Diceros bicornis minor: one gene and its partners. The protein of the gene in region 1 purifies or fractionates together with the protein of each later gene. This does not show direct contact. Links are inferred from orthologs where the notes say so. Each region holds a gene or a part of one and is shown in the gene's direction. Other genes may lie near its edges.

The links. The genes of interacting proteins can lie anywhere in the genome.
Region 2: the proteins of UBE2O (region 1) and RPL23 purify together in Homo sapiens (affinity purification with mass spectrometry; 3 studies listed by BioGRID and IntAct, with this or other methods). This does not show direct contact. The link is inferred for Diceros bicornis minor from reciprocal best matches to the Homo sapiens genes UBE2O and RPL23.
Region 3: the proteins of UBE2O (region 1) and EPB41L5 purify together in Homo sapiens (affinity purification with mass spectrometry; 3 studies listed by BioGRID and IntAct, counting the BioPlex papers as one, with this or other methods). This does not show direct contact. The link is inferred for Diceros bicornis minor from reciprocal best matches to the Homo sapiens genes UBE2O and EPB41L5.

What each region holds. Positions count from the first base shown.
Region 1 is NC_080757.1:56,740,656-56,750,789, reverse strand, and holds the start of UBE2O ((E3-independent) E2 ubiquitin-conjugating enzyme), read left to right. Parts: upstream 1-6,293; 5' UTR 6,294-6,336; coding exon 6,337-6,741; intron 6,742-10,134. UniProt on the Homo sapiens protein: E2/E3 hybrid ubiquitin-protein ligase that displays both E2 and E3 ligase activities and mediates monoubiquitination of target proteins. Negatively regulates TRAF6-mediated NF-kappa-B activation independently of its E2 activity.
Region 2 is NC_080757.1:38,773,347-38,783,084, reverse strand, and holds the start of RPL23 (large ribosomal subunit protein uL14), read left to right. Parts: upstream 1-5,828; 5' UTR 5,829-5,893; coding exon 5,894-5,906; intron 5,907-6,500; coding exon 6,501-6,584; intron 6,585-6,615; exon of another isoform or gene 6,616-6,751; intron 6,752-6,888; coding exon 6,889-7,017; intron 7,018-9,738.
Region 3 is NC_080749.1:12,667,975-12,678,066, reverse strand, and holds the start of EPB41L5 (band 4.1-like protein 5), read left to right. Parts: upstream 1-6,182; 5' UTR 6,183-6,320; intron 6,321-10,092. UniProt on the Homo sapiens protein: Plays a role in the formation and organization of tight junctions during the establishment of polarity in epithelial cells.

The sequences.
Region 1 (10,134 bases):
CTTCTTTCAGCCCAGGGTAGTCCTTGGAGAGGGACACAGCTGGGGGAAGGAGTTCCTCAGACCTGAAGGTGGACTTGGGCTGTGCACACAGCATCCACTGCATGCCCATCTCCCCAGCCGGGTTATAAGACCCTGGAAAACAGACCATGTTGAAAGTGTGGCATTGTGCTGCCTACAGAGTATGAGTCTATCAACTGGGTGTTGATTCTTCTGTTGAGGAGGATGGCACTTAGCTTCTTGACTTCCTGTGGACTTATTTTGAAGCCTTCTCTGCATAGATAGGCTGGCTTCACTGCAGGGCTGAGTGGGGCCCTGTCTTTATTTGGAGTTCAATATCTGCCATATTACCTAGGCAGTCTCCTCAGGAACCTTCCAGACCTTCCTGGAAGGGAGGTGTCAAAGGTAGGGAGGGATCGCCACCTCCTGGAGAAAGAAGGGACCACGGCTTCCTGAGCATCTGGAGCCCCGCTGTCCAATAGAAAGATCATGTGAGCCCCATATGTGATTTTCAATTTTCTACAAAATTGAAAATGCGAAAAAAGCCAAAAGAAACAGGTGAACTTGATTTTAATAATATATTTTATTTAACCTCATACATATAAAGTATTGTCATTTCAACAAGTAATCAATATAAAACTATTAATGAGATATTTTATATTCTTTTTTTCTGCACTGGATCTTCAAAATTCAGTGTGTGTTTTACACTTACAGCACATGTCAACTCAGACCAGTCACATTTCAAGTGCTCAAGAGCCACATATGATTAGCGGCTACCGTAATGGGCAGCGAGATCTAGAGGCTAAAGGCGAAGGAGAGAGCAACAGCGTGTGTGTGTGGATGTGTGTGCATGCATGTGGGGTGAGTGTGGATGTATGTGTGATGTGAGTGTGCATGTGTGGGGTGTGTGTATGTTCCTCTCCATATCTAGGAAAAATGGAGAGCTGTGGACTTGAGGAAAGACAGAGGTGTCCCAGAGACCTGTTGATGCCTTTAGGGCCATTAGGAGAGGTTGGCGTATTTTGTTCAATCATTCAACAAAGATGTTTTGAGCACCTACTATGAGTCAGATCTGTGCTGGATGCTGGGATACAAAGATGGAGAAGACACAGTCCCTGTCCTTAAGGTGTTCATGGTCCTGTGGGAGAGACAGGAGTACAAAAACTAGTTGTAATCGAGGGCAATAAGTACAATCACACAGGTGTTACCAGGCTAATAGAGGGTAGTAAAATCACACAGGTAGTACCAGGGAATACTATACAGCACAGGGAATAAGTGTTTGGAAGTCTTCATAGATAAGAAGGCCCAAGCTGGGTCTTGTAAGATGAAAAGGAGTTCTTTAGGTAGGAACAGGGGTTGAAGTAGTAGAATAAAAAATTCCAGGCAGGCAGATGATGAACAAGTGAAAAGGCACAAAGGCACCAAAAAGTTGGGATCCTGAAGTAGGCAGCTGAGGCTGGAGCATGGAGTGTGTGCACTGGGTGCAGAGGTAGAAGATGGGGTTGGAGGTAGATAGAGGAATCAATTCATGAAGAGCACACGTGTCATTCTCTGGTAGACCATGAGAGCCATAGAAAGATATTAAGCCAAGAAGTCGGATGATCATGCGTATTTTCAGTCTCCCAGGGACAACGGGGCAGATAGATTAGTGGCCAGGGCATGGTGAAGAGACCACGCAGCAGTGTAGGCAAGCAGTGGAGATGAACTAACAACAGCAGGTAATGTTTATCAGGCTGGTACATCATACAGGCACCATGCAAAGCTCTTTATCTTCATCATGGCAGTTAAATTCTCAGCAGCCCTAAGAAGTAGGTACTATTATTATTCCCATTTAACAGAAAGGAAACTGAAGCTCAGAGAAGTAAAATAACTTGCCCAAGGTCACATAGTGAGTCAGTGGCAGCACGAGCTTCAAACCTAGGTCCAACTGACTCTAGAACCTCATGCTTAGCCGCTGCACTGCTGTACCGCCACCCCACCTCCCCACCTCCCTGCAGAGCAGCCCCCAGCAGAGCAGCTCTGGACTTGGGGAGTGTGAAAAGGGGGTTGAGGGGTCATGACCTGAGCTTTGATGGCATGTGGAGCTTAAGACTGAGGGCTAACCCTCAGGTGGCCAACTGGGTACCCAGGTAGGTGATGCTGCCATCAACCTGGATGAGAACTCTGGGAGAAGGAACGAGTTTGGGGAGATGTCACGTTGTACCTATGGTTGGTCATCCAGGAAGTACCCATGAATTGAGGTGAGAGGAAGGCCCTGGTCTGGTGATTTGGGACTTGGTGGTGAAGAGGGTGGCATGGTTGAGCGACAGCAGCCCTACTGTTCTCAAGCTAGTCCAGCAGATTTGCTGTCCCTGGCTCCTGTATCCTCAGGAAGGAGGGAAACAGGGCGAGCCTGCCAATCCTGGGCTCTTACTTATTGCTCAGCCTTTTCACAGTTGCCCCCACCACAAAGTGTTTTGCCCAGTAGATTGCAACCATTCCTCATAGTCAGGAGTGAGAATGGCCAAGGGCCGGCCTGAGTCCTGATCCTGACTGTACTGCAAGGTGACCTTGGGCAAGTCCCACTGGTTCTCCCAGGGATTCAATGTAAGGAGGGGTGAGGCTCCAGGAGCAAGAAGGACCCCTTTAACTCTGAAAACCCATAATTCTTGAGCAACCCACAGCTGGAGCCTCAAGCAGAGGCATTTCTCCAGCCAGCCCCTGAGGATGTGAGAGGGCTCCCTGGGGTAGCTCCCCTCCCACCCACCTTCCCAGATGAAACCCCCAGTGCTCAAGGCACCCTAGAGCCCCCAGACACCACTCCAGGGTGGAAGGAGTTCTCTGGGTCTGTCTGGATTTGCTCCTACAGGCAGGCTTGGAGAGGCCAAGCAGGTGGGGCTCCCCTAGGGGGCAGTGTGGGACCCGTGCACACTTCGTGAGTCTGAAGAGATGGCCCAGTGGCCGGTTAAGATAGGAACAAGACAGGGCCTGCTTCCCCGAGATCAGTTCACTTTGCTGCCAGCTCTGCTATGTCCTGTACCCTGCCAGCCCCTTAGCAAGGGGAGTGGCCAGGCTGGCTCAGTTTCAGGCAGGCACGTTTGTAAATAAGCAAAATTCTCCCAAGAAGCATCTCTATTCCCCAAGAAGGGCTGGGTGTTCGGGCCATGAGAGGAGGGGGTTTCTCCATTACGGAATGAAGGTTTTTTTCATTCAACAATTATGGAAATAAAAACTAAGCAGACACTCCCATCTGGGCTCACTCCACTCACCAGCCTGGGTGTGCAGTGACTGTAGCTGGGGGCTCAGGGTCTGGGAAGGAGTCAAGCCTCAAACCTTGTCTGGAGTATCTCAGGTCTGAGTGAGGTCACTGAAGGACACCATGAGGGGTGTAGGAATGTATGGAGCCTCTCTTTCTAAAAGGGCTCAGATGAAACTCAAACTGGGGGTGATAGAAAGGGCTTAGTGATAGCACGGGCAGCTCCTTGGGTGTCTGGAGGGGAGGACAGGAAACTGACCAAATGGAGGAGCAGGAATCTCAGGCCTTTGACACCCACCAATATGCTACATTACTGAGCACCAACACTGTGCCAGGCACCAGTGTTACACACACAAATATGACATGATCCACATGCTAAAAAGGGGTTTAGTAAGGGAGAGATCTGCATGTGAAATCAAGGGCTCTTACCTACAACCTAGCAGGTTCCTGGTGGTGGTGGTAGGAACAGCACAGCGTGGCATGGTGCTTCACAAAAGGGGGGCTCATACTTTCTCTTTCACAGGGGGATAATCCACATAAAGGTGGGTAATCTATGTAAAGCACTTAGTATAGTATGTGGTATTAAATTACAGCTCAATAAATGGTAGCTATTATTAGCCATTATTACAAGATGCAGAATAAACAAGGCACATCTTCCTGGAGTACCAATTTTACTCAACAATTAAGGAGGAAAGGACATTCTTTTCATATTAAAACAAACACAGGCATAAGCTGGAGTAGAATGCAAAACTCACTTGGATTTTTGACATCCAACAAAGATTTTGGGCCTGCATTGCCTTGCCCCTTCAGCCTACTTGCTCACCCCCCATCCCCAGATGGACACAGGAACTAGAAAAGCCCCTGCACTTGGAGCTTGGAAACGCGGGTTCCAACCTAGCTCGGCTGGTTACTACCTTGTGACCCTAAGTGCTGAATTCCTTGGGCCTTGTTTCCTCATTGGTAATATGGTGTTAACCACACCTGTATCCAGAATTGTGATAACAAAGAAGACAATATATGTGAATGTGCCTGGCATAGTGCCTGGTCAATAATAGGTGCTCAACAAATGTTAGTTTATCAGGAGCCTAGGAGATAGGGCTAAAGGAGCATGGTAGGTGGAACAGAAACTACTATGTTATTGCTACTAAGCCTCCCAGGTCTTTATGGGGGAGAGAGTGGGGAACTGAGTCCTGACAGCAATGATTCTAGATGGTCATTCTGCCTTGTGGTCTGGGATGGGAAGTCTATGATTTACGAACCTAGCTTTGCCCCTAAATCGTATCCTAATTCTCCTTCAGCTCATTTAGCCTCAGTTTTTCTATATCTTAGTATGTGAGTTTTCTAAGATTTGGGTCCACTGTCAATTACTCCAAGCCCAATATTACCCCAATACTCTCTAAGTACTTGGCTCAGGTCATCTTAGGTACTTAGGCTGCCATCTGTGCTTCATGTATGTGCTTAAACTTTTCCATGTGTGTAATTCTATATCCTTGGCAGCCTGTAAACTACCCAAAGAACAGGGATCCTGCCTTTTGTGTGTGTGTGTGTGTGAGGAAGATCAGCCCTGAGCTAACATCCAATGCCAATCACCCTCTTTTTGCTGAGGAAGATTGGCCCTGGGCTAACATCCATGCCCATCTTCCTCTACTTTATATGGGACACCGCCACAGCATGGCTTGACAAGCTGTGTGTCGGTGCACGCCTGGGATCTGAACCTGCGAACCCTGGGCCGCCGGAAGTGAAGCGCGCGCACTTAACCGCTGCACCACTGGGCCAGCCCCTGCCTCTTTTAAAGAACCTAAATACTGTAATATTGAACCATTTTACTAATCTGTCATTGATGATCTTACAGAAAAATGTGGAAAAAATTATTTTGACTGAGAAAGGCTAGGGCCATGTCTTGAGTAGTCTTAACTTCCTTTTAGCAACCCATTATGAATCTGTCCTCTGAGAATGTATCTAAAGCTTTTGGAACTTACTTAGGGGACACATTAGTATAATTACTTTTTATATTTTAAAATGGCAATATGGAGCAGACCATAAGTATAACAGTTCTGCCAATTTAGAATTTTAGTCTAGGTGGAAGCAGGGGGTGGGGTTGAAATATTATAATGCAGTTAAGCTTTATTGAGGGAACTAGATGCCAGGCACTGTTCTATTTCGTTTAATCCTCCCAACTGCCTGATGAGACAGGTACTGCATTATCACCCCTATTTTACAGATGAGAAAATTAAAGTGAAAAGAAGTTTATCAGCTTGCCCACCTCTATAAGATTAGTAAGTGGCAGTGCCAAAAATTGGAATCCATGGCTCCCACTCTTAACTACCTTGCTATGCTACCTCTTGCCATGCATACTAAGCCTCCTGGAGCTTTGAGCTCATCTAAATGAGCTGAAAGCCAAACCACAGGGGCCACTAATACTTGCTTATCTTTCTGATCTTTCTCTGGGCCTCCTTTGCCAACTCTTTGACCAATCCCTAAGAGGTCATGACCTTCCAAGCTTTGCATGGAATTCCCTAATACAATACATTCTAGATACACGCTATACATATCTATTATAGCCTTGCTTACAAGCTGCCTTGGAGTTGCTTTTTAGCCTTTTAATGTATGTATGTTTTGTCTAACTAGATTATAAACACCTAGAGGACAGGGACTGTATCTTGCTTTTTCCGTATCTCTCCCAGTGCCTAGGACTAGGCCGGAGACGCCAAGAGAGCTCATTTAACTGTTGTTGACAGACTCAGGACCATCCTCCGCCCCGCCTTGGCCACTCCCCTTTTCCTCGGTGACCACTCCACTGCCTCCTCCTGGGTCCCCACCCCTTCCCGCTGCCTTTATTCTTACGCCCTCTGGCCCCGCCCCTCCTTCTTGGAGTCCGTCCTTTCCCCTCGTCCCGGCAGCATCTCCAGCGTCCCCTAGCGACGGGGCAGTAGCTCCTAGCAACCGCAACTCGGTTCCCTGACGACGGCTGCACGTAGGGACACGTCAGCGCGCCGTGGCCCCGCCCCTGGCGCCGGCCGGCCCCGCCTCCCCGTGCCTCGTTCGCCGCCGCTGTCGCCGCAGCCGCCGCCGCCGCCTCCTCCCGAGACTCGCACAGAGCAGTTATGGCGGATCCCGCAGCGCCCGCACCCGCAGCTCCGGCTCCTGCCCAGGCCCCGGCCGCGGCCCAGGCCCCGGACGCAGCCCCCACCCCGGCGCCGGCTCCCGCCCCGGACTCGGCCTCCGGGCCGTCCTCAGACTCCGGCCCCGAAGCCGGCTCGCAGCGGCTGCTGTTCTCTCACGACCTGGTGTCGGGCCGTTACCGCGGCTCGGTGCACTTCGGGCTGGTGCGCCTCATCCACGGCGAGGACTCGGACTCGGAGGGCGAGGAGGAGGGCCGCGGGAGCTCGGGCTGCTCCGAGGCGGGCGGCGCGGGCCACGAGGAGGGCAGGGCCAGCCCGCTGCGCCGCGGCTACGTGCGCGTTCAGTGGTACCCGGAGGGCGTCAAGCAGCACGTGAAGGAGACCAAGGTGCGGCGGGCGGACAGGGGCCGGCGGGAGGACGGAGTTAGCTGCTCGAGCCCTAGGCCGGGGAGGGCAGGGAGGGGAGGTGTGCGAGGCGCTGCCCAGAATGGTGCAGCTGCAGTGGGGCGAGGTGAGAGTACAAGCCTCAGCGGAGGGGACGCTCCGGTGCAAAGTCATTGCACCAGCCCTGGGCCACCGGGCCCCGGCTTCCCCACGCGAAGGGACTTCCGAGCCATGTTGTGCTATGCTGTAGTGTCGGCCTCAGGATTGTGAACGTGGACCCACCACGGTGGGGAACCCCTGGGGCTCTGAGGCACGCTGGCGTTACCCCAGCGCGGCGCTTTGCTGACCCCTGAGGAGCTACATACTGCATTGTGCATCCGGAGAGGAAGGCCCTGCCGGGTCGGTGCAGGGAGGGGTTGTGGGCATTCCGAAACAAGGATAGAGGTGAAAAACTCGGGCACTGTAAAAGCCCAAGAAGTTCACTAGATTATAGAATGCATTATTATGGGTGAAGAAACCCAACTCCTTTTGGTTTTATCTTATTGCCTCATTTTAATTGCTGCGGGGAACTTTGTGAGTAAAATCATTATCAGTGCCGTGATATTAATAGTACTGGGGGGGGTGATGTGACAGCTGCGATTGGGATTGATGACTCCTAAGTGTAGTTGGACTTCTTGAAAAAAATACTGTAGAACCATGGATGGAGGAGAGCCACCCATTTGGAAATCTGAAGGGTTTTTCTTGACTAGAGGCTGTTAAGCAGACATCAGACTCCCAAATGGTATTGGGTTGAGGCTGGTGAATATTGCAGTTTTACAAAAACAAAGAGGTTTATCATCATAAACCTGAAACCTTGAACTAAGGTTGGTTTGGTGGCTTTTCGTGTCTTGTTTTCCTGAGTGTGAATTCCTATCAGTGGTTCACACACACACCCCTGTATCTTTCAACCCTTCTTCATCTTCTCCCCTTCAAGAAAACATTTATAAGCAGGAATCAGGCCTGGGCTGTTTCAGCTGCCTGGGATGTTGAGAGGTCTGATTTCAGGGGAAGGGACTTTAGAAGTTAATCTGGGTTTCTCACACCCTGGGGGACAAAGGCCACAGAGGAATGCGGCTTTCATGCCACACTACAAAGGGGGACTGTGATGATGGCTCAGGCAGGGGAAAAGGCCCCACTCCCAGGAAGAGCCTGTGATCCATTTCCTAGTGGCAGAAGTGACTGCTGATACCAGCAGGATCTTTTTCCTTGCCAGTGCGCATGCATCCACAGACAGAAATCCGCACACAGGACTCCTGGCTTCCCCTCAGAGAAATGCAAATCAGGCAATAGCTTCTCTGATTCGGGGAGGAAATTATAAGCTCATGTGCAAAAGTATGTGGAAGATATTATTTTTTGGAGCAGAATGCTTGTTAAAAATTACCCCCAGTATTATGTCAAGAAGAGAAGATTTTTGCTGTATGTCCTGTCTTTGTGCATTGTTTTACTAGCAAATGGTTGTTAGTGTCTTTCTGTGGGATTTTAAAATATGTTTTTCCCTAACCATCTTCTCTAGAGGTTTGTGACTTCTGGAATGCAACTCATTTGACTGTGTCGTGGCCTCCTGCCCTGGGACTCAGGAGGCAAGCCCAGCACACTACCGGGAGCTGCCATGTTTATCAGTTGCTCCTGTTCATCTTGATTTTGGTGGCTGACTTTGTTTACAGTTACATTCCGTCTGCCTCCCCCACCATGTGTAATTATATGAAGTTTGACTTAAAATACCTATTTTGAAATTAAATAGAAAATAACTTTAAGGCACCAGCTTGGATATAGTTTGGAGCTGCCCTCTTGTGACTTGCTTTGAATTTGTTAAAATCCATTGTGGCTCTAGTGGTGGTGTTTTCTTTGCAATTGTAGTTTCTGTAGCTTCTGAGCTTAGCAGAAGCTAAGGGGCACAGGAATTCTTGGAAGTGGTGGTGTGCAGTGTCCATTTATAGATGGCAGGACCCAGTTCTTCTTCTAGGACTTGTGAATGGGTTTGTTTGGGGGGAAAGTTTATACGTGATACGTAGCTCTCTGTTACTATGAGCCCTAGGCACAAATGACCCTGGTCATCTGAACGTCTCTCCTGCTTTGCTCCTGGCCACCGATTAGGGTGGTAGAATGGGTCCTGGGACCTTGCAGCACTGTGGCTTAGGAAGATTTTCCTTCTCGCCTCCCATTGTTTATAAATCCATTGAGGTGACAGTGTGCTGTAATGGAAAGACCATTAGACTGAGACTGAGCATTTAGGTTCTGATTCTTGCTCCATCCCTAATCTGGTTATGAGATTTGAGAACCCAATTATTGATAGAATAATGTAGTGACAGTTTTGGGAAACATTTTTTTTAAAGCTGCCACCTATTGGAATTTTTTAAATAGTGCCCTTTTAATGTGAAATGTTTAGTAGGCTGTGGAATATTTTTGTAGTTTTCATGTTTATTTGGTGGGCAATGAGTAAAGGCTTACGATTAGTCTCTTGTTAAGTTTTAAGTTAAACTCATTAAGTTTTTAATGAACAAATTCAAAAAGAGAGGTGAAGAGGCTAGCCAACAAGTCCTACTGTCTTCTGGCCACTTCCATGAAAATTATCAACAGAAACAAAATAAGTAGTTCTTCCTTGGAACTGTGGAATTTATGGTCCAGTTCCTGAGGCTTCCAGCAGCCAAAGTTAAGCTTCTTTAGGACTTAAAAGAGGCGCGCAGCTTGTGCTCCTTCCTTCCCTCAGTCTCCTGACCTCCTCAGCATAGTAGCTGATTTATCCACTTGAAACTTTTCCCGTTTGGCCACGGATCTCCTCTGCAGAAACTTACCCCCTCCCTATCAGTGGTCAGCCTTTGAGTAAAATTTTGGAATAAAGCCAAATGCCAACAGCCTCTTGGCCTTCTTGAGCACTGGCTAGACATGGTGGATCTTTCTCTTCTCCACCTGTCATCGTTGGACAGAATGGCCCCCGTAAGGAAGAGAGCAGACTGCTGTCTGTGAGTCCAGGTTTGGGAGCTCCCTGTTTAGTTTTCCCATCTCTTGTTTCTTTTGCTTTAGTTGCCATGACATTCAAGGTCTCGTGGGGTTTGAGATTTCATGTCTCTAAATTAAAGCTGTCTGTCTGTGATCACCCAGCTGTTGTGAGGCTATGTGTGTGTGTAGCATACCTGATGACAGGTCCCTCAGGTATTGGCTTTTCGGTTTATTTTTGGCTCCTACTCAGACCAACATTTCCATGGGGAAAGCTATTTAGGTGTAGCATCGTAGCATGTGAAGTTTGCTTGCCTCGCTTGTCCAGGTGCTGGACCCATTAAAAGCAATTGTTCTTGTGATGCAGTAGGAAGAAGTTAGGTAAGGGTAACCAAGATGCAGGACTGAGTGCATCTAATTGCA
Region 2 (9,738 bases), about 18 Mb from region 1:
AGGAAGGATTTTCCAATCTAGGGGAAACCTGTTGATGTTTGAAGGAGCCAGGGGAGAGGAAGTGATTGAAGATGCTGGAGAGAATGGAGACAATGGGGGCACGTCTAGTACAGGAGCAGAGAGGGTCTTGAGAAGGATAAGGGAAGCAATTCCTCTTGTGTGCAAAGCATTAGGCTGGGGATTAGGTGCAGCTCAGGTTGCAGGCAGAGAGGATGGAAATTAGGTGCCAGAGGTAGAAAAGGCTGTAATTGATGGAGGAGAGGAATCCCATCGCACACTCCTATAGGACCTTCAAGCCTGGGTCAGAGTGGAGTTCGCCCTTCTTTCCCACTACTTGGGTCCAGACTGCCTCTGCAATCTTCTTTTGGTTCTTTACTACCACTTAAAACCTGAAGCAGCTGATCATAAATAGCAAACTACTGTTAATCACCAGAGGCGATGCCTGGTCAGTAAACACCACAATTAAGCTGTAATCTCTTTTCTTCCAGCAGAGGGGGTATAGCTCAGGGGTAGAGCATTTGACTGCAGATCAAGAGGTCCCCGGTTCAAATCCGGGTGCCCCCTAGTGTCTTCACTTTTAAGCCCTAAGACCCACAAGATGGTAGGAAAGAAAGGTAATAACTTGGCAAGTACCCTGTCCATTCTGTGGTGTGTGCTGGGACTACAGAAAGTAACAGGTAAATTATAGTGTCATGGATTTCATGTTCTAATACTGAGGTCAACATGCAAATAAAGGAATTACTCTACAATGTGATATGTAAAACATTTCTGGTGTCCTGTAGATCAGTGGTTCTCAAAGTGTGGCCTTGGGATTCTTAGGTGTCTCGGACACCTTTCTAACAGAAGAATGAATTTCATAATATTACATTATTTACCTGTTTCACTTTTGTTCTTTCATGAGTATAAAGTGGAGCTTTCCTGAGGCTACCTGATGCGTGATATCACAACAGATTAAATGTGGAAACATGAAAATCCAGCTGTCTTTCATTAAGCCAGATATTAAAGGGATTCCAAAAGAATGTAAAGCAAAGCCACTCTTCTCATTCAATTATTTTTGTTTGGAAAAATGTAGTTATTTTTCATTTAAAAATGTTATGTATTTTAACAAGTAATGGGCTTATTATTATCTTAAATGAATTAACAAAATACTTAAACATTTCACGATTTTATATTTCTAGTCTGGTAAATGTCAATAGATAGATATAACCTATATAAACAAAAATTCTTTAGGGTCCTCAATACTTTAAGAATGTAAAGGGGTCTTCAGATGAAAATATTTGCGAATCACTGCTCTAAGTAAAGAGGGGGCTGGGGGGAGAGCATGCTGGGGTTGTGAAATGGCACAGGGAAGAGATGACATTTGAGTAGAGTTTGGAAGAACATGTAGTGGATAAAGCAAGAAAGAGTCCCGAAATCCTAAGCAGTTTGGTGTTGCTGGAGTGTGAAGTGTAAGAGGCAAGGTGATGGGAGATGAGGCCAGGGAGAAGATACGCCATTTCAGGAAGAGACTCCAATGCTGTGCTAAGGAGCTTGGGCTTTATATTCTGTAAGTGCTAGAGGGCTGGCACAGGGTTTTAAGCAATGGGAGGTTCGAGTTAGACCATTTGGAGGCTATTGCAATAGCCTTGAAACAAGGGCAGACTTTTGGATGCGTGGACAGAAAAATTTAGGAAGTAGAATCAAATCAGTAGACCTTGGTCATTAGATCTGGGAGCCTGGGGGAAGAGGAGAATAAATTGTGTCCCTGTTTTCTGGTTGAGATGCTCGTGGTAGCACCAACCAAAAAAAAACTAATACAGGCAGAAAAGCTGATTTTCTGGGAAAATGATGATTTCTGTTTTGGACATGTCAGGTTTGAAGTGCCTGTGGGGTGGAAGTGTCCCAATCACCAGTTCCATATATTGGCTAGAGCTAAGCAGCAATGTCTGGACTGGAGACACAGACTGGGGCGAGATCAGCATATAGACGGTAATTGAAGCTATTAGGGGGGTGTGATCACCCACGGAAACACAATAAGAAGGGACCATGGGGAAGGAGAAGAGGGCAGTATAGCACAGTTGCTTAGAGCCTGTGCTTTGGAATCAGCCAGACTTGGGGTGGCATTCTAGCTTTGCCTTTCGTGATATGTGTGATTTTGGACACATGGCCTAATCTTTCTATTTCTCAGTTTTCTCATCTGTAAAATGAGGTAATAACAATACCTCTTAGCGGTCAAGTGTGCGCGCTCCACTACCGGCAGCCCCGGTTCGGATCCCAGGCGCGCACCAACGCACCGCTTGTCGGGCCATGCTAAGGCGGGGTCCCACGTACAGCAATTAGAAGGATGTGCAACTATAACATACAACTATCTACTGGGGCTTTGGGGAGAAAAAGGAGGAGGATTGGCAATAGATGTTAGCTCAGGACCGGTCTTCCTCAGCAAAGAGAGGAGGATTGGCATGGATGTTAGCTCAGGGCTGATCTTCCTCACAAAAAAAAAAAAAAAAGTCTTAAAAAAAAATAACAATACCTACAGCACAGGGTTGTTGGGAAGATCCAAGATGTTACATTCCCGTAAAATGCTTAACTCAATGCCTGGTACCTGGTAACACCCCATAAATATTAACTTCTATTATTATTAGCATCATGGAAACCCTAAGAAGATGGGAATCGTCCCAGTGTGAAATGCTGTGGAGTTCAAGTAATATAAAGACTGAGGAGCGTCCTTGGATTTTGAAAATGAGCAGGTCATGGTGAGCTTTCTAGTATAATTTTTCAATATGTATAATTTCTAGTATAATTTCAGTCAAGTAGTGAGGACAAAAACTAGATTACAGGGGTTCAAGGAATGTGTGCATGCAGGAAGTAAGGAAGTAGAGACTGATCATTTCCCAGACCTTTGGTTTTCATGAACCATTGAAATTATCACACACAAAAAATATGGTGGCATTGGGAGGGTGGAAAGCTGATATAGGATTGAAAGGCACATTTTTAACACCAAAAACGATAGAAGAAGATAATCTCAGAATAACAGGCAGTCCTTTAAACTGAGCAAATGTAGCTTTATAAGAAATACTATATTTTCCAAATATTTCTAATTTTGCTATAGATGAATGAAAACTTCTTCATGCAACGATGCTGACATATGGAGACCATTGAGATAGACTTCTTCATTTGTTCAGCAATCATTCAGCACGTATTTATCGAGCCAGGCCCTATGCTAAGTGCTGGGGATATACTATTGAAGAAAAAGGATATGGACCCAGCCCTTATGGAGCTTATAGACTAGTTATAGACTAGTTGTGTGTGTGGGAGAGGTCATTCAACAAATAATCATCAAATATATATTTAGGAGTTGTAACAAATAGTATGAAGGAAAAATACAGCATGTTAAGAGAACTTATAACAAGGGCATCTGACCTAATATGGGAGTCATGGCAGATTTCCCTAAGAAAGAGATATGCAAGCTGAGATCTGAAAAATCAGTAGACATGAAATACATGATAAGGGTAGGCAGGGTGGCATATTCCAAGAACGTGTGAAGCCTATGGGTATTCAAGAACACGGGCAGTATCTAAGACTAAAAAGCCAACCCTGCAGAGCAAGAGAGAGCATGGTGCAAGATGAGGTCGACAAGGTAGGATGATGCCAGATCAGGAGCTGGTAGGACATGATATGGATTTTAACTTTGATTCTAAGAACAATAGACACCATTGGAGGATTTTCAGGACAGTGATATTATAATATTTATATTTTTGAAAAATTATTCCTGGCCTTTGTATGAAGAGTGGACGGAGAGGGGAGAAATAGAGGCTAGGAGATATCTTAGGAGCCTTCAGAAGTAGTTTAGGCAAGAGATGGAGGTGCCTTAGACCAGAGTGGTAGTAGAGGAGATGGAGAGAAGTGGATACATTTTTTTTTTTTGTAAGGAAGATCAGCCCTGAGCTAACATCCATGCTAATCCTCCTCTTTTTGGTGAGGAAGACGGGCTCTGAGCTAACATCTATTGCCAATCCTCCTCCTTTTTTTTCCCTCAAAGCCCCAGTAGATAGTTGTATGTCATAGTTGCACATCCTTCTACTTGCTGTATGTGGGACGTGGCCTCAGCATGGCCAGAAAAGCGGTGCGTGGGTGCGCGCCCAGGATCCAACCACGGCCGCCAGTAGCAGAGCATGCGCACTTAACCGCTAAGCCATGGGGCCGGCCCCAGAGAAGTAGATACATTTGAGAGACATTTAGAAGGAAGACTGAAAAGTCCTTGGCCAGGAATCTCAGATGGACACCTGGATGGATGGTGGTTCCATTTATTGAGAGAGACAAATTTGATAAGGAAATCATACATTCAGAAATGCGAGGAATTTCATTATATTTTGATTTCTGTGTAGATTATTTACTCTTACTTTATGGTCTCATCCAGTATCACGGCTTTAAATATACCTATATGCTGACAACTCCCAAATTTATATCTCCTTCTCTCCAGAACTCCAGGCTAATATGTCCAACTTGCTATTTGAATCTCATTTGGTTGTCTAATCGACATCTACCTCAACACATCCAAAACTGAATTCCTACTCTTATCCCTCAAACCTGTTCCTCTCACAGCCTTCCCCATCTCGGTCGATGGCAACGCCATCTTCCACTTGCTTTGACCTAAAGCCTCGAAGACATCTTGACTCCTCTCTTTCTTTCACATCCCAGATTTTGTTGACTATACCTTCAAAACACATCCAGAACCTGACCACATCACATTACCCCTACTGCTATCACTCTAGTCCAAACCACCATCGTGTTTCTTCTAGGTTTCTCCAAGAGCTTCCTAAATAGCTCTCCTTACCTGTATGTGTCCCCTCCCAGTCTAGAGTGATCCTTCTGACACACAAGTCAGATTATGTCCCTCCTCTGCTTGAAACCAGTAACGGTTCCCCATTTCAGTCGGTAAATGAGGAAGTCCACAGTGGTGTACAAAGCCTTACATGATCCAGTTCCTCTTCCCTGGACATTGCTAACTCCTTCACCTTAAAGTCCTTGCTCTAATGTCAACTTCTCCCATGAAGCCCACACTGAACATTCTATTTTAAATTGCAGTCTGGCCCTCTGCCCACGATCTGATCCCTGTTACCTTGTTCTACTTTTATTTTTTCATAATACTAGTCACTATCATACTATATACTGTAATTATTATATCTATTTTTTAGGGTCTAATATCCACCTTCACCACCCCCCCAGCAGAATGTACCTTCCATAAGGACAAGAAGGTTTATCTGTTTTGTTCCCTGATGTAGTCTCATGTATGCCCAGGACAGTATCTGGCATAAAGTAGGCGCTAAATAAATATTTGAATGAACATATCGACAGAAGGAAAGAAGCCAGAAAAATGGGGAGGTTGAAGCTGTGAAAGGGGTAATTAATAAAGCAAGATATCCAAAATACAGATGGGTGCGGGATCAAGCGCACATCTAGGGAAATTATATCACATCCTAATGAAACCGTTTAAGGCTCTTTCTCCCTCGGCCCCCCACACCCTGTGTTCTTTGGGGGCCCCTACACAGCACAGAACGTTTTAATCATTTCTGAACCTCTAGTGTCCACGAAGTCCCTGCCACATACTAAGTGCTCAAACGAGGTTATTGGCTAAGTTAACAAACCAATGTTTCTGTGTGCCCAACTACTTTCGAGCTCGTAAAGAGGAGACGGGCCCTCATTCACTTCTGCAGCCCCCAACCCCTCGACCTCCCACTTCGCAGCGACATCACAAGCCGACGTCCAGGACTTACTACGTAATAACACAGCGACCTGGGGGACGAGGCGTGTCGAGCGAACCCCGAGGCACGTGACGAGAGTGGGCGGTGCGTCAAAGTTCATATCCCAGTGTCCTTTGTTGCTACTTCCTTTCTGTCCCCTTCCGGCCTTCAAGATGTCCAAGAGAGGTGAGTTTTTCGCTCTGGGGGATCCTTCGCCATCTGTCGCGAGGTGGCTGCTGGCCTCGCCGGGAGTGGCGGCCATAGGCAGCTGGGGCGCTTTGCTCTCCTCCGGGCCGGAGAGGGAGAGGAGGGGCACCGCGAGAACACTGGAAGGGCCGCCGAAAGTGGCGAGGGCAGGCCTGCAGAGTTGAGCTGGCGGGATCCGGACATGATTCTAGACCGAACTCCGCGGGATCGCTCCGCACCCCGCTGCAGTAATGGGGTTGCAGTTGGACTGGCTTAGGCCGCAGAGTGGGAGACTTGTGCGGTCTGCCGCCTTGGAGGAAGAGCTACCTGGTGCACGAGTTGGAGCGAGGATTGAGTCGTCCAGGCCCCTTAATCTCAACGTAGGGGTGGTAATAGTGAGGAATTGGCTCTTTGCCGTGAGAGCTGGGTGGCACATGGGAAGGGAGTAAGTGGAGTCCTAGAGATAGCGAATCTATAGTGTACCGTTTCCTAAGGCATATGCGAATAAAGCTGTGTACAGCTTGAGAAGGTGAAGGGAACTCCGAAACATGACTTAACCTGTGTGACCTCTCCTGTTTCTCTTCCTACCCACAGGACGTGGTGGGTCCTCCGGTGCGAAATTCCGGATTTCTTTGGGTCTTCCGGTAGGAGCCGTGATCAACTGTGCTGACAACACAGGTGAGACCTGCGGCTACACCCCGCCAAACTCCCCCTTTTAAAAGCACTCAGTGGGCCTTTTGCTAATGACCCACTGAGCCGTCAAGAAAGGGCAGAGTGAAAACACCGCTTTTGGGTGAAGCGGCAGCATGTTGTGTTGTTTCGCTTCAATCGGTGGTGTGACAGGGTGTTCTCCCTCGGGACTCGCTGCTTGGGAGTGTGAGTGGAGTGGCTCTGGAAGTGTTGGGGAAATATTACACCGAACCGAACAGAACTGCCTAACAGGCTGTCGAAAAGATTCGTTTTTGTTTACATCCTTTTATAGGAGCCAAAAATCTGTATATCATCTCTGTGAAGGGGATCAAGGGACGACTGAACAGACTTCCTGCTGCTGGTGTGGGTGACATGGTGATGGCCACAGTCAAGAAAGGCAAACCAGAGCTCAGAAAGAAGGGTGAGTAGAGAAACAGAGTTTTCCTTATCGTCTGGTGGAGAGTTGAAGGGCTTCTGACTTTGTTGAAAAATGGAACAATAATTTTACCATTGTCACGGCCTGTTGAAGCCTGTTTCCTTGGGGAGGCACTGTGAGATAAATATCTGCAATTTAAGTTCTGCTCTTGCTGTCTTAGAGATCATTTTCTTCTCTGTCTGATCTTACTGTATTTGTCTTGCTCTCTTACTCTTTAAATGTATTTGCCACATTGAAGCCAGGGCCCATCTTTTAAAAATGTGAATCTTGTCACTTGCCTACTTAAGTTCTTCACTGGCTTCCAGTGTAAGGGGGGGGGGGGCTTTGTATGTTACCCTGCCATTTCCCCAGCAAGTGCAGCAGCTAGTTATAGACCACCTCACGTGCCTATAGAAACAAAAGCCCTGTCCTGGAATTTATAGTCCACCCTAACGGTGCCTGCCCCAGCTGTCTATTCCTTTCAGTTCTTGGTTTCTCGCTCTGACCTATACCCCTTCCTTTGTGCCTCAGATCCTTTGTACTTGCTGTGCCACTTGCCTGGAATGCTCTGATCCAGTCATCTTCAGCTCACTTCCTTGTTGACACTGCCCGTCCCCGCCCCCCGCACCAAAAAAAAAAAAAAACCTTGATGTCGGTGGTAATTTTTGTGTGCGAGACATTTAGTTAAGTCCCGTAAGTTAAGTTCTAGTTAAGTTCCATCAGAGCAGGTACCTGTCTTCAGTTCGTTGCCAATTCCTTGGCTACAAATGAACATGGTGGTACTTAGTAAACATATTTTTTGATAGGTGGTTTAGAACTCGACCAGGTGAGATCACAGCTTTAAGACTTATGTCACCAAGTTTTTTTTTTCTGGAACTACTAATTTGAAAGGGAATAATGATACTCGAATACTTTCTCAAGTGGTTGTGAGATTCAGGTGATGAGCTGAGCATGTAGAGCATCTGGCCTATTAACTAGCGCAGAGCAACAGATGGTGTTTCTCATGCTTTAAGTCAGATTCTTTTTACAGATGAGATTAATTCAAGATTGTGACTTGTCAGAAGTTTGGCAGAGTTGCTTCTAAATCTCTCTTTTTTTGTTTTGTTTTGTTTTGTTTTTGGTGAGGAAGATTAGCCCTGAGCTAACATCCGTTGCCAATCCTCCTCTTTTTGCTGAGGAAGATTGGCCCTGGGCTAACATCTGTGCCTATTTTCCTCTACTTTATATGGGACGCCGCCACAGCATGGCTTGACAAGCAGTGCGTTGGTCCGCGCCTGGGATCAGAAGCTGTGAACTGCTCCCGGGAGTGGAGTGCGCAAACTTAACAGCTATGAGCCACCGGGCCAGCCCCTAAATCTCTTCTGATAGAATCTAAAACAGGGAGCTGCTCATTGCTTAATCATGGGCTACCCCCCAGATGTTTCTGCTCTAGGTATATTAATTAAAAGGGAGGTCTTGGAGCACTTCTGCCTTGTAATGTCCTCTCTGGCTTTAGAGCTTATGATACTCAGTATACTTGAACTTTTCAGCTCCTGAACTTATCCCCTGTGCCTGCTTAGTCTTGCTCATCCTGAGAAGTCCTAGCCATGTCTCAGTGTATAGTACAAATGTGATGGGTCTCAGCCACATATATCAGTTACTCCTTGTAGCCCTGCATACAGTACCCCCTACCATCCAGTTTTTAGCCTTTTGGTCAGAAGTCTTTGTTCACTTTTAATATCTGCTTGAGGGCTTGGTGGGCAAGGAGTAAGTAGCATTGTGGTTAAGCATTGATGAATGAATACGTAGCTTGGGATCAGCATGCAGTGGACAGGCTTTCCTCTTAGAACACTTGCTGGGTCTGATCTGTGGCCTGGAGAGCTGTCAGGGAAGGGCAGAGCAATCAGCCATCGCTATGGGTGAGATGGCAGCAGGATGTGCTGTCGGTCTCAATCAGTTGTGGGACAGACCAGAGAACACTTAATGGTTTTAAAAATAGTTGTGAAATTTCCAACTCCATTAATGTGTTCTTTGTTGCTTGTTGCTGCTAAATGAACACATGCCTTCACCTTAGACTTACGTATAATTTACAGAAATGTGGAAAGGGACAGGACCAGAAATCCAGAGTCCTGGATTTGTGTGGCCTTATTTATCCACTAGATTCATTTGTGAGAATTTAAATGGTTATAAGTAGATGAGGGTTCAACAAAGGAGGCACTCAGTAAATATTAGTTACCTGTCAGTGTGTATCCCATTGTTAAAATCTTGATCAGAAGCTGTCTACGTACATAGGTAGATAATACTTGCCTCAAGGATAGCCAGGATCCCTGTCCTTATAAAAATCCTGTATTTCCATGGTCTGATCTTGAATGTAGAAATGTAACTATTATTCCTATTTTACAAGAGGAAAACTTGAACTCCAGAAGATTAAGTAACTTGTTCAAGGTCTCCAGGTTAGTATTAGTCAAGATTTGAATCCAAGAATGTCTGACTCTAGTTCTTTCAAGTGCAGTAGATGCTTTGTTTTGAAGGTCTGGGAAAGTGTTCCCTTTAGTGCAGGTAGGCTTTAAAAAATTACTTATGACCCTAGAAAACGGTTCCTCAAAAAATTAAATGTAGCAGTTAATTACTCAAGAAGTACAAGTTGAGGGACTGGCCCGGTGGCGCAAGTGGTTAAGTGCACGTGCTCCGCTACAGCAGCCCGGGGTTCCCCGGTTCGGATCCCAGGCGTGCACTGATGCATTGCTT
Region 3 (10,092 bases), on another chromosome or scaffold:
CATTGTATTTGATCCTCACAACTATATCCCCATTTTATAGATGAGGAAATTGAAACTCAGAGTTTAAGTATCTTTCTGGAAGTTAACTAACTAGCAAATGGAGCCGCAGAGACTAGAGCAGGTCTGTCTGACTCTACAGCCAAATTCAATATTCTTTGAGAGAAATTATTTTTAAGGGGAGCAGAATTTGTCACCCCAAAACACATCTCTTTGGCAAAAGGATTATTTCAGGCTGATTATTTTTAAGAGAAAAAAAAAGACTCAGGAAGAACCTTTAACCTTCACCCTAACTGCCTAAAAGAATTTAGGTAGAGGACCTGTTCCAGGAAGGAGATATCACTATAGATAACTATAGACTAACATGAACTAGGTGTGATAGACAAGAAGGAACCTAGCAGGGCCAGTTTGATCAATGTCTTCTCTGTGTCCCATTGTTTCTGGATGCCCCAGCAAACATTTGTTTATCAAGCATTTACTCTTTTCATTCTTCTTGTGAATTGCCTTCCTTCTCTTTGAAATCCCAGATCCTTGCCCCCTTCTCCTTAGACCAGATTGACATATATATCTCATTTTGCCTGACTGTCTTTGACATCTCTTATGTTAATGTGGATTTCCTGTATGTACATAATTAAATTTGATTTTCTCCTGTTAATCTGTCTTACATCATTTTAATTATTTGTCCAGCCAAAAGAACCAAGAAGGGAAGAGGGAAATTTCCCCCTTCCCAACAAATTAGTTGGGAAGTACCAATTTATATGTTTGAAATTGTTTGAAAAATTATTGTCATTACTTTAACCTGACCTCAGATTTCTAAATCAAATTTTGGAAAATAGGCATTTAAAATATGATAAGATTCTCTCTTTAAAGGAAACTTGAGGTTTGGGTTATTTTTTAACAAAACTTTAAATTAATATATATCTAAACTCAGTATTTTTGTGTATTTGGTTTATGTGAAATTAAATGACATCCTCTTAGATATTGGAATATGTATAGAATCACAGCTTTTAAGATCCAGAAAAGATTTCAGGAATCATGTGTTCTAATTACCTCATTTTATAGATGAGAAAACCAATGCCAGAAAAGATGAATCCTTGTCCAAGTGAGTTAGTGGTAGGGGGGTCACCACCGATCTTTCTACTGTATGGTATCCTAATACCTTCACAGGCCCTGGTGTCAAGCAATAGTCACAGGTGTGGGGGCAGTCATCTAACGACCTCCTTACTCAAAATGAAGACCACTAATGAGCAGTACCAACAAACTGCAAGCTACGGGTAATGCAGACTCTCAGGCCCCACCCCAGAGATAAACCTTTTAACAGGATCTCCAGGTGACTCATATGCACTTAGCTTTAGAGGCACTGAACCTTGGCTCCTTCCTTCTTCTTCTTTTGAGTCTCCCAGTCTCATCATGGTTTCACCCTTGGGCAAACCTAATGGCAAAATGTTTTCACTTTGCTCTTTATTACTCAATATTATGAACTTGCCTGGAGCCACCCAAGGTTTTCTGAATTTTTCTTCCTATCAAGATTAAGAAGGAGCATAGGCCACCACATCAATAGGGCTCTGTTCCAGATAATTCTGAATAAAGTGATGCATGAAATATGGATGCTTAGGTCTTTTGCCCTGAGTCTCCAGAAGTAGGGAAAAGCCTGAGTGCTTTGGAGAAAGAAGTGACTTGTCTTCAATTCACCCTTCCATGTCCCTTCTCTGAATACCTCTACCCCCATTCTTTTAAGATCCTTCAATTAGTCCATGTGGCATGAATTTGTTTAAGGTCTTACTCCTCCCAGGAATACTTGCAAAGAGAGGAAGGATGGACTTTCAAACATGAGATTGTGGCTTAGGAAAGACTTAGCTGGGTAAAAGGAGCTACCCAATTGCATGAAGTTAGGCCCAGGCCACGGCCTGATTTTGGGAAACCCTCGTCTTCTATTTTCAGTACCCAGGTATTTTTGTTCCTTGGTCTGTAAAATTTACATTATCTTATATGTTGTGTTGTATACTTCTGAAAACATTTTCAGATAACTTATTTTCTGTAACACTCATAACTACCCTGTGAGGAAGGTGGTATCATTCTCACTTTACAGACTTTAAAGTTGTTTTAGATCTTTTAGCTTGTGAACTGAAGCCTAGACTCTTTGCAGTATGCTAATAAAATTCTCTCTCTCAGTGGTGTTTCCTGATGACTGGTTTTGTTTTTTGATTCATTTCGTGTGCATTTTTGAACACTTCGATCCAGTGTCTGATATATGAATTCTTCGTGATACACACTCTCCTGAGCATATTTTCTTTTCAATGGAGGCTTTGGAATGCAGGGCTCCTTCAGTCTCCAGGAGGCCTGAATCTCATATGGATGTTCTCTCTGCTCTGCTCTGCTCTGCTCAGAACACCTTTGGCATGAAGGGCCCGACCAGTGTGGACCAATTCAGAGAAGCTGACCCAGAAAGTAAAGAGCTTGGAAATCAGAACAAGAGGAGAAGATTTTGCAGGCTTGGACAAATGTCCTCAACTATTTGAAGGGCTGTGATGTGAAAGAGGGATTATGTTTCTTCTTGTGGGCAGAGGCAGATTTACCATGAAGATAATCAGATTTAAGCTTTAGGGCTCCTTACTTGTGTGGGCCCCTTCCAAGACCCTGTACCTAATTTTGATTCCTTAAATTTGTGTTATTTCACTTAAAGAGCTGCCTCCTAAATTGTATGATTTTCAGAACCCACAAAATCTGAATCTAACCCTTTCTCTGTGGCTCCGGGAAGCAAATCAGGACCTAAGATAGACGTGGAGATCTAGGGTGAGGGTGTTAGTTCAATAAAGGAAAATCTTTTCATGGGCCAGGACTATGCCACCAAAAAGTGGGTCATTGTGGTAGGCACCCTGTATAGCGTACCCACAGTCATTCTTCCTGGCAACACCCCCTCTTTCCTGCTAATAGAAATTGGATTTGTTCAAGAAGTTAATGGAGAACCTTGATCTCAGAGAGAGCAGGCCCTTCCCCAAACTTCAAGAGTGAATTATTATCAGTCTAAACCAATCACAGTGTTCTCTTTCCTGTGGTCAGTAATTGGTCTAAGTATGGGCAGGTCATCTCGTTCTGGCCAGTGAGACGGGGGTGGTAGGACTTCCTTCCTGAATTAAAAGACTAGGCTTCAGGAAGAAAAGGTCTTTTCCCCCCTTCCTTTCACTTCTGAAACTCAGATAGGACAGCTGGAGATGCTGCAGCCCTCCTGTGGCCAGTAGGCTAGCAGCATAAAAACCAGACTGTACATGCTAAGGATGGCAGAATGGAAAGAGTAAGAGAGTTTAGGATCCTTATAGTGTTTTTGAGGAGCTGAACCCATACTAGGCAGCCACCTACCTCTAGACTATTTATGTGAGAAAAATAAACTCCTTATTTAAGTACAGTTAATTATATTCTCTATTATTTGCAGCCAAATGCATTTTTACTTAATTTGGCTGTGTTCAAGGAGAGAAACTTTGTCTCTGGTGGGAGTCAATTAGTGAGCTAATTTACCACAAAATAGGGATATTGCAGAGGGTACTTATCTCTGGGAGAGAGGATTTGGGAAAGTGTTAATTGTTATTAGGAATAATCTCCCATGATTAGAGCACACAGAACTTCCTGTGACTTAGGGCCTTAGGTGTCATTCTCCCTCCCCCAACTCTTTATATTTCCTTGAGCCTGGAACCACCTTTCTCAACCTATTCCTCTCACCTCATCCACTGCCTCCCTCAACCCTACCCTTGACAGGAGGTAGAAAAAAGGACTGAGCAGAAGGGGAGAAGAGGACACTTTCTCTAAACGGGTGGGCTGTGCAACAGTTTGGGATAATGAGGGAGGTTTCTAAGTATTGACAGAAAATTCTTCCATTATTGATCAGTAAACAAATAAATTACACTACGACTTTCAAACAGCTGGAGATGCTGGGTAACACTGGGTAATACTTGGAGGGAGACAGCTCTGATGGGGGTGCTGGAGGGGATGGCACTCAAGACTGTACAGTTTTCAAACTGGGGTAATCAGAGCCCTGGAGAGACATGAAGGTTTTCCAAGGAGTACATGGCCCAGATAGAATTTTTTAAAAAACTTTTTATTATGGAAAAAATTTAAACCCATACATAAAATAGACAAAATAGTTTAATGTACCTACTTACCCAGCTTGAACACATGGCCCATTCATGTTTCATCTATGTGTCCACTGCTTCCTTCCTTCTCACGATCATGGCTTTCTTATTGAGATAAAGATGCAAAGGTGACCCCCAACAATTCCTCCCAGCCCTGCATGCCCACGCTGCTCCTCCCATGAGAGATGACGAAAATGTTCTACAATTAGATTGCAGTGATGGTTGCACAACTTTGTGAATGTACTAAAAGCCACTGAAGTGTACACTTTAAATGGGTGAATTGTATCATCATATGTGACATATTTCAATAGGGCTGTTTTTAAAAAGTAGAGAAAGAAAATTTCTCTAATACTATTAAAAGAAAAAAAAAAAGAGGTGGAATCTTGTTTCCATCCCTCTTGAAACTGGTCTGCCCTGTGACTTGCTTTGACCAATAACAGGCAACACAGGTGATACTGTGTGACTTCCGGGCATTTCCCTTAATAGGCCTTGGAGCTTCAGTTTTCACTCTTTTAGAGGGCTGAACCCCAACTACCCTGCTGGAAAGCCAGGCCCAGGCAGAACTCAGCTGTTCATTTCAGCCACCCCAGCTGAGAGGCCACAGAGCTGAGGGAAGCCATTTGGGCAACTGCAGCTCCTGCTGAGCTGCCCCCGCCAAGACTGGGTGGGGCAGAGCCCAGCTGTCCCCGGCACCCCTGACTATTAAGTCTTGGGGTGGTGGAGGAATGGGCAGTGCCAAGTCTCCACAAGGGGTCGATGAATATTTGTCTCTTCTCAGTTCAGCCAGCAGGGTCCTCCACTTAACACCTCCAGTGACTCCCCACAGCCCTCAGAGCTCTGACCAGGGCACACAGGACACCCCCCTCCTCTCTGACTTACCTCCTAACACTCTTTCCTTTGCTCCCTCACCTCTCAGCACACTGGCGTTCCTCGAGCAGGCCAAGCAGGCACCTCGCAGGGCCTGTGCTCGTCCCTTGGCTCTCCCCTAGACGTCCACAGGCTGCTCCTTCACCTCCTTCAGGTCTTCACTCAAAGGCCACCTTCTTATCGAGAGCTTCCTCCTTACCTAGCCAGTCTATCTAAAATTACCACCCCTCATTCCCTCTCCCTATTCCCTGTATTTGTTTTTCTATTTATCATTAACAGTGCCTAACAGAGTATTTAGCCAGCCCTGGTGGTCTGGTGGTTAAGATTCGGTGCTGTCACTGTGGCGGCCCGGTTCGTTTCTGGTCAGGGAACCACACCAGCCTTCAGAAGCCTGTTGGTTGTCATAGTGTGGACTCTGCTGTACACAGGGTGGAGAGGAGTCAGCATCCACTCGATGATGCAAAGACAGTATTTATTTTTATTTAATTTTACTAATTTATCTCATTTATGTTCTGTCTCTCCTGCTAGCACTGAAGCTGCAGGAGGGATTTTTGTCTGTCTTGTTTATCCTTTGTATCTCCAGTGTCTAAAACACAGCCTGGCCCAGGCACTTCCGTAAATTATCTGTAGAAAGAATGGATGAAATGTCACCTTGTCACAGAGGATCTCCCTGACCACACTGTATTAAATAGAAACCTATTTCCCATTTCCATCTTTATTTTTCTGCTTGATACATGTATTTGTTACCATCTTCCTCCTCACTAGAATGAAAGTTCCCTTAACAGCAGGGAGTAAATATCTGCTGAATGAATTAATTTCTTGAACGAATGGATGAACGAATCTAGCAGCACCTGACGCTGGGCTCCCACCGCTCTAAGCCGCCTTTGTGACAGGACTAATTTCGGGGCTCGTTGCGGGCGCGCACCCCCTCGGAGGGCGGAAGTCAGATAGCCAGGGCTGCGTTTCGGCAGCGCCCCTTTAAATCAGCAGCGGACTCCAGGCCGCTAGCGCGGGTTGCAGGTCGGCCCGGCCTGGCATCGCCGGTTTAACCTGAGTCTCGCCCAGCCGGTCGATTTCCGGGGCGGTGTCATTGCCCATTTAAGAGCGGAGCGCCCCGCCCTCGAGGGCGGAGCTTAGAGGGGGCTTTAAGGGGCGGGCGGGCCGGCGGCCGGGGTCCTCGGGGGATTAGCGCGGAGTGGGTGTGCGCCTCAGGCCGCCATTTCTTGGCGTCTCCAGAGGAGCCGCCCCCTCCTCAGCCTCGCTCGGACCTCTCCCGTCTCGTCGCCGGCGCCCCGCGCCCCCTTCGCCGCCGCGCCGTCGTCCCCAGCCCAGGTAAGCGCGGGGCCCAGCGGCCCCGGCCGCACCGGCTGCCCCCGCGCCCCTCGCGGCCCGGGACCCCCCTCCCCGGCCGGCCTCCGCGCTCGCGCCGTGCTGCCCTCCGGCTGCCCCGCGCTTCCCGGGCTGGCCCGCAAAACATTAAACCCGCCGAGAGGGGAGGGGCGGCGGCGGCCAATGGGCAGGGCCTCCGAGTTTCGGGCGCTGTCGAGCGGCGCGGCCGGAGCGAGCGCCCGAGGCGAAGCCGGTCGCTGTGTGCCGGTCGCCGCCGGGGTCGCGGGCGTGGTGGGGGCGGCGCGCGAGGCGGCTGTGGCAGGACAAGGAGAAAACACACGTTGAGTTGGTGTCACGGTCTTGTAACAAAAGCTCGAGCGTCCTTTTGGGACTAATTTGCGTTTGACTAAAACTTGAGCCGCTTGGAAATCGTGCGAGGCAGGTGTGTGCCCCGCGGTGACGAGGTCTGCAGGGCCCTCCCCGCCCCCACTGGTGGCGGTGGGCGTGTTGATGATGGTTCTTGGGTGTGTCAACATTAATTGTATCTGTCACTATCTTCGTGGTTACCAAGTCTCATGAATTTTACTTGAGAGCAAGAAGATCAAGTCTTTTAAACCGTTTGACAGCATCTTAAATTAATATCCAAAGTATTTTTTTTTAAGAATTCGGGGAAAAAATTACCCGTAACACTTATTTCTAACATAACTAACACGTTGCTGAACCCTAGCTAACATAGTGGATTATTTGTACAGATAAGCTAGTTGGCAGGGTTTTCTTCTTTTTATAGATAAACTTCATTAGAAAATGATGTAACTTCTGTTGAATTATTCTCTTCCAAACATTTTCTGTATTGGGATTACTGGGACAAAAGGTTAATATCTTCATGGCACTTGTTATACATTGGTATATTGCTTTATCAAAAATCAATTGCTTACCAAAGATTGTGGCCACCAGTCGGGTATGAGAGTATACACATTTCATGACAAACTTAAATTTTAGATATGTATTTTAAAAAAAAATTTTCAGTTAATTTAGATAGTGGATTATTTCTATTTGCATTTTTATGGTCGTAAAGGAAACCCTTCTTGTTAGTTCATTGCAGAAAACTTAGAAATCACAGATTAAAAACTAGTATTTTTTTTAAAAAAACCATATAATACTACTATGCAAAAATTCCACTGTATTATTTTAGTGTCAAGATAGGTTCTTTATTGAGCGCCTAATATGCAGATTGCTATGCTAGCTGGGTCGTAGTGGTGAAGGAGTCAGACTAGGAGCCATCCTTGAGTCGTAGAGGGGTAAATACCTAGTAAAAAAAATAAGCTATTGGGTATTTAGTTACAGTTTCCTTAAGTGTTATAAAGAAAAGGCTAAGGTGCTAAAAGGAGCACCTAATTAGGACTCAGGAGTCTTGGGGAGTACATTTCTGAGGAAGTGGGAGAGGGCGGGGGAGAGGGGAAGTGGAAAAAGAGCATTCCAGAAGAATGGAACAGCTAACGCAAAAAAAATGTCCACAGTGAGAAAGATTCTTGGGCTGAGCAGAAGGGGCACTTGAGCAGAGTGAGCAGCTGGGAATGGGTTGCCAGCAGGGTCAGGCGGGTAGAAGGAGCTCCATCATGGAGCAAGGCCGTTAAAGATTTTTAAACGGGTCGGATTTGTGATTGATAAAAATGCACTGCTGCAGCATGAAGAATGAAAGAGTGGAGGGTGGAAAAAGAGTGAATATGGGAAAACTTTTTTTTTTTTTTTTTTTGGTGAGGAAGATTTGCTCTGAGCTAACATCCATTGCCAATCTTTTTCTTTTTTTGCTTGAGAAAGATTAGCCCTGAGGTAACATCTGTGCCATTCTTCCTCTATTTTGTATGTGGGTCGCCCCCACAACATGGCTTGACAAGTGGTGTAGATCGGTGCCGGGGATCCAAACCTGCAAACCCGGGCCGCAAAAGCAGAGTGCCTGGGACTTAACCACTATGCTACAGGGCTGGCCCCCTAGATTCTATTTAGAGAAGATTTAAGTACCTCCACATGACCCTCTCCAGAGATAACCTCACTTAACAGTTTGCATGTCCTGCTAGTCCTTTTGTGTGTGTGTGTGTGTGTGTGTGTCTAAAATATAAGTATGTATATGTATGCTCCCCCAGTATGGGGTAAAACTATATTCCTTTTTCTCTGATTTCATTTTTCACTTATAAATTTTGTCAGTGTGTAAGTCAACTGTACTTGAAAAACAGCTGTATTATATGCCATTGTACGTACCGTAATTTGTGTAACTACTTGCATGTTGATGGACATATTTAAAATTTTGCGTCAGTTATGGCCTGAAAGTTCTTCTTTCTACAACTTGGAGCACATGTAGGACTAATTCTTTAGGATATCCTACTAGAAATAGAATTGCTGAGTGAAAGGGTGTGCACATTAAAATTTTTGATAGTGTGGTCCAATCCTCTTCCAAAGAGGACAGTGTATGAGGTTGATGGCTTTTCCCATATCCTTTTCAACACTGGCTGTCTTGAGTCTTTTCAATGACAGACAATATCTTACTTTTTGATTTGTATTTCCTTGGTTACTGTTGAGGTTGAACATCTTTTTTTATGAATATTTTTATTGCATATCATTTTTTAAAACTTTTTCTTCATATCTTGCCCATTTTTTTCTGTTGTGTTATCTTAATGATTTGTGATAGTTCTTTATTAAACTGCATATTAATCCTTCAAAAAATTGTTTTTGCAGAAAAAATTTTAAAAGCCCTTTACCCTAATATACTATTTGTTTCCTTCTAGTACTTTCTCATTTCTTTCACTTTAAATCTTTAGTCCATCTAAAATTTATTTTCAAGTAAGTTGCTTTCATATTTTTGTAAAAAGAACTTGTTATTTGTGGCACTGGGTTTTATAGTTCAAAATACATAATTCTTAAAATTCTAAACCTGAAAGAAGCTGTGTTTTTCCTTAGCAGGTTAACTCTACTTGTATAGTGAGTCTTTATTTTCAAGATGTAGGATAAGGTGTAAGTCAGAAAACTTGTTTTATAAATCATTTGCTTGTCAGGAACCACAAAGTTGTAGCACATTTCGAACATTTTTTTCCCCTTAAAAAAACTTGTTACTATGGAAAAATTCAATGTATGCATAAATATTCAGAAGAGTATACTGAACCCCCGTGTAGCCATCATGCAGCTTCAGCAGTTATTGGCCAGTTAGTTTCACCTCTATCCCCACTTAACTCCCTTCCTTGTATTATTTTGATGCAAATACTAGACATCACATCATTTCTTCTATAAATATTTCAGTATGTATCTTAAAAGATGTATCTGAAAAGATAAGGACTCTTTTTTTTTTTAACATATCTTTAATACCACTATTTAAAAGAAAAATGGCAGTAATTCCTTGGTTATCTTAAACAATCCAGTCAGTATTCAAACGTGTGTATGTATAATTTAGTCCTTGGGAAGTTCAAATGACAATTATCATGGCTTTGCCAGTTTACCTAATTACATAGGAGTATGCATACTTATAAAATGAGGATATAATCCTCAATTTATAGCTATTGAATAATTTTTTAATATGTTGGTATTTAATATTTCAGCTTTTATGTTTACAGGTACATCTAGTTTAAAACAGCTTATATATCGTATATCTTATACGATATATAAGACGTCTTATATATTGTATATATATATAACAACAAATGTGTGACTTATAAAAATTTTTTATTTTGAAATAATTTTAGACTTATATAGAAGTTACAACAATAATACAGGGCCGGCCCCATGGCTT